2 linked regions of the Neurospora crassa OR74A genome follow. The main gene of each other region encodes a partner of the protein of the gene in region 2 in a complex. Links are inferred from orthologs where the notes say so. Each region holds a gene or a part of one and is shown on either strand. Other genes may lie near its edges.

Region 1 (4,032 bases), on a different chromosome or scaffold from region 2:
GGTCACATAGTAAAACGTGTCCGCCTCGGGATTCTTTTGGGGATCCTCAGCCACGGACTTTTCCCAGTCAATGGTGTCCAAGATTCCGTGGAAGGGTGCCACGCCTGGGGCGTCTCCATAGGTCTCATGAGAAATTCCCTGGACCTTTGCCAGGTTCTGCCACCTTTCCTGACAGTACGGTGATTTCAGATAGAGATGTTCGTGCAACTCTTCCACCAGGATATCCATGAGGGCGGTCTCCTGATTTGCAAGATAGCTTCGCAGGTCGCTCAGGGCACCAATGTTATCCAGCTCGGGCTTCCTCAGCTTCCGTAGCGCATTCTGCAGGACCTCGACGGCGGTCAGAAAACGCTTCTCGGATATCCTGGCCTCCAACTGGTCTGGAACGGTGCGCAAGTCATCGAGCTCGTTCAGTGTTTGTAGGACGCCATCGTACATGCGTGACGTGGCATGTAGCTGTTTGAGTTCGGGATTGGTGGTGCAGAGTGCCGTCTTGGAGGCTGCCAGCGACTCCTTGAGGGCGCGCACCTTCTTCTGGGAGGACTGTATGCTCCCTTGGATCTTGTGGAATGTACCAATGGAACTGTTGAAGCCTTGGTGGTGGTCGTGGACAATGTTCTTGAGGGACTCTTGGAGGAACTGGTGTGTCTGCTGGAAGTTGCGGTATTCGTGGGCGCGGCCGACGGAGCTGGTGTCGAGAAGCTGTAGAGCCAGCTGGACGGGGATGCAGTCTGTCTCGACCATGGCGGGCCATTCTCTCTTGATCAGATCCAGCACGTTTCCAATCTGGCGCTCGGCATTGGACTGGATCTGCATATCGCCGGCACCCGTGCGGCCACGCTGGGCAGACCGGGGCGGGGGCGCATTTCGGGAGGCCGTCGATGGTCTTGAAGCCGGGTTAGTGCTGGTGCCATAGCGGTCGCTGGGATATCCGTCACCGTAGGGATCGTAGTCGTCGTTACGCCGGCCAAGGTTGCCGAAACCGCTGTTGCCCCGATAGGATTGCGGCTGCTGGCCGTATCGGTCGGCCATGATGGTGGTGTGTGTTTGACTCGGCGTCCGGGTGTCGCGAGGAGGGAGAGCTATCGTGTTGCGCGGTACTTCATTATCGGCATGCCTAAGGTATACAGTATGGAACTACTGCTTGGTGTGCCGGGCCCGTCTACAGTTGGTATGAATTGTAGGTGTTACTGAGTGGACGTTGAGTCGTCGTCACCCAGGACTTGAGTCGTCGGGTGTCAAGGTTAGGTTGGTCAATGATGGTGCTTTAGTTGGTGTTGCTCAAGAAGTCCTCCTCTCTCCACGTTCATGATCCCCTAAAACGGATGTACAGTGCTTGTTTGTTGTTACAGAGGGTCCCGCCGTTGCTACATAGGTACGTAACCCCACTGACAGGGCCTCACGCACGACGGATCACTGCAGGGGCAGCGGCCTCCACGAGACATGAATTACAAGCTCGAGATGCTTCCACCTCAATAAAGGTATCCTGGCTCTTCTCTACATCTATCCTCCTTTCAAGTATTAATGATAACTCGTCAAGTCCTTATACTTGGGCATTGGAATTCCAGATTTAGAGCCTTCATCCACATACACAGCGCCGGACAACCGCTCTTTTCTACCATGACCGCCGCTTTCCCAATCCAGCCTGTAGCACGGTTTGCGGGCAAGAGTGAGCTGGTCAAACGGCCAAAGGTAGAAACAACCTACTAGAGACATCCAAAGACCAGAGAGGCTAACTGTCTGACCAGGAATTTGCATGCTTCTCATACGATGCCGATCACAAGTTCTTACTTGGAGCTCAGTCATTGAAGTGGTATTACACACCAGACCTCAACGTCGACCTGTCCAAGGGCTTCGAGAGCTTCATCAAACATGACGATAGTGTAGACGAACATCTGGACAGCCTACTCACCACCATAGCCGACTATGAGCAAAAGACGTCGAAACCGATCGATGCTCACATCGTAACTTGGAGAGGCATGATGACAAAGGCGAGTCTCCCTTAGACTAGCTGTTTCATGATGTCGTTCGTATATCGGACACTAACATCATATACACCGTGATAGATCATGGCAGCCCCCTTTGATGATGACGACGGGTTTGAGATGAATGCTACCCTTTACAGAGTTCGTCCACACCTGCCGCTTGGCCATCTAACTTGGGAAGCCTTGTCATACTAACATGGCTGTAAAAGGGTTGCATGTAAGCGACCACATGGTTTCCGCCCCCATGCTATTTTGACTGACGGCGACAAGATTTATCGAAGAGAACCATGCATACAAACAAGCATCGAGAGCAAACGAGCGGCCATGGAACGGGCCAATCCCGCAAGAAGTGATGCAGTACTGGGGTAAGCTAACTCACTGTCCACGTCTTTCATATCTGCTGAATTGGTAAGCTGACGTCTCCTGGCTTCCAAGGCTACAAGTTTGAGACTCTGAGCACACTTCCGAAACCATGGGGCCAGACCTCTCGCGATTTCATTGAAAGCCGTCCCGATCATGTCGTGAACAACAAGGAGCAATACTGCTCAGTAGTCCGTACAGGCATTGGCAAGACCATTCTCTGTATCGGTGGTGAGGTTGATGCTAGTTAGTGCTCTTGTCTCCCTACCTATACTAACGCCTCTCGTCAACCCCAACTAATAACTCGTCTTTTCTTACTTAGTATGGGACGACAAACCAAGGACTCAAGGCGATCCAATCAACTGGGTGGAGCTCAAGACGTCGGCAGTAATCCAAAATGAGCGCCAGGCCAATAACTTTGAGCGTAAGCTCATGAAGTTTTGGATCCAGTCCTTTCTCCTAGGCGTCCCCAAGATCATTGTCGGATTCCGGACGCAGGATGGGCTGCTGGTTGAGACCAAAGAGTTCCGCACGATGGAGATACCGCTCATGGTGAAGAAGAATGGGCGGCCAAAATGGGATGGGGATACGTGCGTCAACTTTGCTAACGGCTTCCTCGAGTGTGAGTCTTGTCATTTCCTTTGTCTTCTTGAAGTCCAGCAAAGCGTCTTATGCTTTGGAATCTATGACTAACAGTCTCTTTTCAGGGCTTCGCCATACCATCACCGACGAGGGCGTGTGGAGGATCAAGAGAAGGCCTCGGTCGGCAGAAATCGAAGTGTTCAAAGTCGAGGAGGTGGGCCACGGAGACATCATCACAGATGAGTTCATGAACTGGCGGATCAAGCTCGAGCTTCGTCAGGCACAGCCGCCTACTGAAGACAATGAGACCGAAGAGTAAGCTGAATTGGACGAAGCAGTACACGTCTTCTTATGTGCATCAGTGTCCAATAGAAAGAAGTACATTGGCGTTGGGCAACCCACGGTAGCTTCTCAGCCACCCCCCTCGTTCTTGCCTGCCAGTTCCGACGTCTTCCATCATCCAACCCTACCTGTCTGCACCTTCCGTGTGATAAGGCACGCCGCGAGGCAGCTTTCCATCTAATCTCAACCCACTAAAGACGCGAAGCTCCCCGCTGTCAACTGAACAAATGTTCACCTCCCTGTCAACAACCCAAACCATCAAAATCTCCATGCTTCCATTCACCCACGAATTCATTTCCACCATTCACTCTCTGGGTTATAGATCGCTTGACTCTGTCCAGCAATCGTCCGTCATAACTCGCGGTCCTTTAAAATCATTATGACCCCAATCCACGCCACGCGTCTCGACACTTCTCAAAAAGACATCCGCTTGCTCGAGCTTCTCCCGGCCAACAGTCTTCAAGACCCCATCCAATGCAGACTGTACATAACTCAACTGTCAATGGAAACGGAGTATACGGCCTTATCATACGTCTGGGGAGATCCGAATGTTACCTCTCCCATTGCTGTCAACGGCGTTCCCTTCCATGCAACTCACAACCTTTGCGCTGCTCTAAGACGCATACGATCTAAATCCAACCTCTCCACGACGCTTTGGGTAGATGCGATATGCATCAACCAGTCCGACAAAGACGAGAAATCGTCTCAGGTTCAGCTGATGACAGATATCTACCACAATGCCTTGCTCGTCACTGTCTGGCTG
Region 2 (4,509 bases):
GCCTGAGAGGCCAGCACTCTTTGTGGGATCCAGCTCGAACTTGGTCGTACCCTGCTTCTTGGAGTAGAACTGGCTCGTGATGTGATCGTACAGTGTTGGGTGAGAATCAGATAGAAGTAGATAATCCTTGCCCGGTGCATTCCGGAGGTGATCTTCTGGGCTCAAGAGATGACTTTTGGTCTCCATGGCAGCCAATAGACGAGGCATGTCGATGAAGGGAAGGAGGGCGACACCCTGCCAAGCCATCTTTTTGCCGTTGAGATCAATCTCGAAGTCATCGGGGTAGAAATGGCGGATCTCACTGGTCTCCTCTAACATTAAGGAGTGGAACACCTCAGGGATGGCATGACGAGACGCGGCCGGAAGGACGCTCATCAGTTGCTCAAATGGCCGCGAAATTCTGCCCTTCTCAAACTTGATCTCCATCTTGCCAAGATCAACAAAGTCCGCAGCGAACGGCGCGTAATGGTAGGGGTAGAACCACTCCCATGAGGGGCAGCCCTGGAAATAATACTCCAGAACCCACGCAAGACCTTCGGCATACGCACGGCCAACCTTGTGACGGAAATCAATGTCTTTACGGTCAACCTTGAACTTCTGCTCATAGTACCGGTCCGCATAGCCCTCTTCCCACAGCCTGACCGAATCGGTAGGCTCAGCATCACTCTCGCTGATCTCGGTCACCTCGGTACTGCTGGCCTCGGGACCAGCGACAGCATCTTCGATAAGCTCAGCCTTCCTTTTACCCAGGGCTGCTGGGGGAGCAGCTTGCTCTTCGGTGGCCGGGGCGGCCGCAGCAGTTTCAGCAGGAGTCTCAGTGGACTCAGCACCGTTCTCTGGAGTGCTCGTTCCTTGCGCCATCATGCTCTTGATCTGATCCTTGAGCACGCTAGCGGCACTCTTGTTGGCAACATTGGCCTGGTCAACCGCCTGGCGGTTCACCACCATGTCATGAGTGATTGATGGTTGCGGAGCCTTGCCCGGAAATTCGTTAATCTTGTGAAAGGAAAATCCAGCTGGCGGACCACTATTCTCAGCCGCCTGACGTATTTGCCTACTGCCTTGGGCTCTCCTTTGTCGGGCCTCATCGGCAAGCTTGCGCCTCTTGAAACCGGCCTCTCGTCGGTCTTCGGTTTCCTTTCTCCTCCTGAAAATGGCATCTTCCTGCTTGGCCAAGCCGGCCATGATGTACTGGACACGTTCAAGGTCCGCATGGCCATCTTTGGTCAAATATCCGCCCATTACGGGCAAGTTATCTTTCCAGATGGCCGTTAGGGTATCAATTCCGTTCTCCCTGATCTCCAATGCAGGCAAGTGAGGCAAGAAATCGTTTCCGACAAAGAAGCACATGAAAACCCAATCGTCGATGGCCCTTTCCAAGTTGAACTGGAAGGGAAGGCCAGGAACGTCAAGTTCAATGGCAAGGTACTCACGGAGAATGGAAACGTGGAGCCAGATAAAGGGCTTGAGAGGCACGACTGCGTCCTTCTCGTCGAACTCGCCATTCTTCTCCTTTGCCTCGCCCTTGCAGTTCATGGCGTCATGTCCCTTTTGACCGCAAATCTTGCACAGTCTCGGCCTGCTGTCTTGGGCAAAGACGTCTTCACGCAGAACACGGAAATGGGGCTCGTGCGTGGCTAAGCCAAGCATGATAAGGTCGGCGTCGAGTCCGTAAATGACATGCCGAGTATTGGGGTCATGGTTGGGGGAACCACGCTGGGAGCGGACGAATTCCATGATCTTATGTTCACCCTCACCCGGAACGGTGGCGTCAGAGATAATGACCTTGATGTTGGCCCAGGCAGGATCGGTATTGAGCTTATAGGAACACCAATACCTGAGACTGGCAGCCAGGATGTCCATGAAGGGCGTACCAGGAGTGATGGAGTTGGAATCGAAAGCCTTCTTGACGACGACCTCTACGGGTTCTTCCTCTTGGGGCTTGCCGTTCTGTTTCTTGAGCAGCTCGACGAACTTTTGCTTGTCTTCCTCCTTTTCCATGGCTTCCCGGGCAGCGCGAAATCGTCTGGACCGTTGCTGGTTCATTTTGGCTCTGGGGGCAACGCCGTCTGTGGTGAAATTATGTTAGTCCCGTTTCTTAAATCAAAGTAGGGCGACAGAGATGGTGCGAAAGAGAGATACGCACCAACAGCAATCATGAGAAGCTTCCGCGGGCGAACCATGTTGACGACGCGATCGGTGTACTTGAAAACCTCGACCATCATCTCTTCCTCGTCCTTGGGCGCGGGGCGGTCCTCGGGGTGAGAGCAAGGATGGACGATGCCGTTCATGTCGAGATACAGGTTGTCAAACTCCTCGCCATTGGGATTTGGCTTGGTCGCGTCAACAGGAATGACGGTGCCATCGGGCATAGTAATCGGCTGATCCTCGATGACGGGCGAGATGATCTTGGGATACTTGGTGGACAGCCACCTGAAAGCCGCCGGAATACCCATCTTGCAAAGGCGATCGAGTGGTCACACGAATAGCACTTGTAGGGACGGTAGTTAAAATGTGGTTGGCTATAAAATGTAGTAGGTAGTTGTCGCGAGAAAGATCGGGGGTAGTCGCTGAACGAGATGGGTGGTTCGGAAAGTGAACGTAGTGGGTTCTTCAATTCGCACCGACGGAAAGCGAATAAAGGAATGTTGATGGAAGCAGACTGAGGTATAAGGTCGGTCGAAGGGATCGGATGTATGGGCAACAAAAGATGCTGATGCACAACACGCGCAAGGTGACCGCAGATAGAGCCACCAAGGTTCACCTCAAAGTGCACTGTGGAAACGGCGCAGCAAGATTGAGGACACGCCTTGTCGAAAGCCCAATTCAATGAATCCGGGCTAAATTGACACAGCAAAGCGGTCCTTGCAGCAATGCCCGTTGGATAAGACGTGAGCGATTGCAGAAGTGGTGATGGAGTGGCAGTGGGATGAACTGGGGAGAGAAGGACGAGACCGGAACAGAACGCCGAGCTCTGACATGCGAAAGAATTCAAGGGTTCAACGAGTGCCAAGACCATGCGGCAAGGGACGATAAGCACTGATAAGACCAATGACAACGCCACAGCAGCCTGTTATCGGCTTATCGAAACATCACATGACGCTCTATGATCAACAGTTGTGCGGGCTAACAGAGCACGGTATGATTGAGGCGCAGGAACCGTAGAGGTACACACACCCGACATTTACTTATCCGAAAGACTACCTATACATAGCATTACATGGAACTGCACGATTATATACCTATCATAGTACTTTCCATGAGTCCCGAAACGACCCTAACCAAGGTATGAAATGATAAATACTACTACCTAGAGGTGTAGGTATCTAAGGTACTTACCATGCCTTGATGATTGCCAATTGTTGCGCGGGCTGGACTTTTCGTATGAAAGGACCACCTGTCCCCTAGTTTCATTCCGTTGGCCTCCGTTGGTTGTATACCTACTAGCCACATGGAAGCAACTAGGTACATACCTACTTCCTGGCTTCGTTTGTGTGCAGCGAGTCGGGTGGTTGTAACAAGGCGGGCCCTTCCATTTTCCAATCGTTTTGTCCGGGTACATCCAAGATCCAACGGAACCTCAGAGTGCTAGGTAGGTATACACTAAGCTACAGGTGCAAGTACCACTACGCTCGCTATAGCGGGACCACACAGGTACCTACCCCTGACTGACACCCCGACGACGCAAGAGGTGGTGATCCGACACCTCTTAACCCTCGAGCATGCGCGCACCCCGCCGTACGCCATGATCCTCCAGTCCCTCCCTCCATGGCATCCAAACTAGTCCACTACCTCTATCCTCGAACATGTTCTCGACCATTACGGCGGCGCCGGCCAAGCAGTCGGTGAGCGAAACCATTGCCGTCCTCAGCGGCCGTCTCAACACCGCGACCCTCCTCGAAGACCGCCGCGCCGCCATCCTCGGTCTGCGCAGCTTCTCCAAGCAGTACCCGGCCTCAGTAGCCTCTGGCGCTCTACGAAGTCTCATCGGGAGTCTGAGCAGGGATGGCGAGGATGTCGATACGGTCAAGGTCGTCCTCGAGACCCTGCTGATGCTCTTCAGCCCCAACGAAGACAGCCCCGAAGCTTCAGAGGAGATTGCGCTCTGGCTCGCCGACGAGTTCACCCAGCGCCAGGAGAACATCACGCTGCTGCTCGATCTGCTCGACACGACCGACTTTTACTCGCGCCTCTACTCACTTCAGCTGCTCTCCCACATACACTTTGCCCGGACAGAGAGAACCGAAGAATGCGTCCTCGTTGCGCCCCTGGGCATCCCTAGGCTGGTTGCCGTGCTCGACGACAGGCGAGAAGCCGTCCGGGATGCGGCCATCAGTCTGCTGATCGACCTCACTGCCGAGTCCGTGGATATCCAGAAGCTGGTGGCATTCGAAAAGGGCTTCGAGCGCATATTCGAGATTATCACCAATGAAGGAGGTCTCGTCGAGGGCGCAAGGGTGGTGGAGGATTGCTTGATCTTGTTGGCGAACCTGCTTCGTCTCAACGCGT

What was found.
Region 1: the proteins of NCU01643 (region 2) and NCU04191 are in contact, whole or in part, in a cryo-EM structure (PDB 9FMS), measured with the Saccharomyces cerevisiae proteins. The link is inferred for Neurospora crassa OR74A from reciprocal best matches to the Saccharomyces cerevisiae genes RAT1 and RAI1. Residues at the interface, in NP_014691.1 of Saccharomyces cerevisiae: Arg216, Ala217, Asp218, Pro219, Glu220, Thr313, Phe314, Asp315, Arg318, Cys368, Asp369, Phe805, Pro854, Ser855, Lys858, Ser859, Ile860, Ile861, Leu862, Asn863, Ile911, Thr912, Gln913, Tyr914, Lys915, Arg917, Thr918, Gly919, Gly920, Tyr921; in NP_011268.1 of Saccharomyces cerevisiae: Tyr46, Tyr47, Leu48, Pro49, Asp50, Leu53, Asp54, Arg55, Leu181, Gln182, Tyr183, Thr184, Arg186, Ile189, Glu190, Phe226, Asp227, Phe228, Gln247, Val248, Ala249, Asn250, Ile251, Thr254, Phe257, Glu258, Phe280, Lys288, Thr289, Val290.

The regions. Positions count from the first base shown.
Region 1 is NC_026505.1:5,152,861-5,156,892, forward strand, and holds NCU04191 (rai-1), read left to right. Parts: upstream 1-1,515; 5' UTR 1,516-1,524; coding exon 1,525-1,692; intron 1,693-1,748; coding exon 1,749-1,991; intron 1,992-2,066; coding exon 2,067-2,126; intron 2,127-2,194; coding exon 2,195-2,202; intron 2,203-2,255; coding exon 2,256-2,350; intron 2,351-2,420; coding exon 2,421-2,591; intron 2,592-2,667; coding exon 2,668-2,967; intron 2,968-3,052; coding exon 3,053-3,246; 3' UTR 3,247-3,327; downstream 3,328-4,032. Other genes in the region: NCU04190 (exocyst complex component Sec8), read right to left, coding at 1-1,032; NCU17026 (hypothetical protein), read left to right, coding at 3,649-4,032. UniProt on the Saccharomyces cerevisiae protein: Decapping enzyme for NAD-capped RNAs: specifically hydrolyzes the nicotinamide adenine dinucleotide (NAD) cap from a subset of RNAs by removing the entire NAD moiety from the 5'-end of an NAD-capped RNA.
Region 2 is NC_026502.1:2,829,711-2,834,219, reverse strand, and holds the start of NCU01643 (5'-3' exoribonuclease 2), read right to left. Parts: upstream 2,952-4,509; 5' UTR 2,457-2,951; coding exon 2,147-2,456; intron 2,070-2,146; coding exon 1-2,069. Other genes in the region: NCU01644 (intracellular protein transporter UsoA), read left to right, coding at 3,807-4,509. UniProt on the Saccharomyces cerevisiae protein: Possesses 5'->3' exoribonuclease activity. Required for the processing of nuclear mRNA, rRNA and small nucleolar RNA (snoRNA) precursors.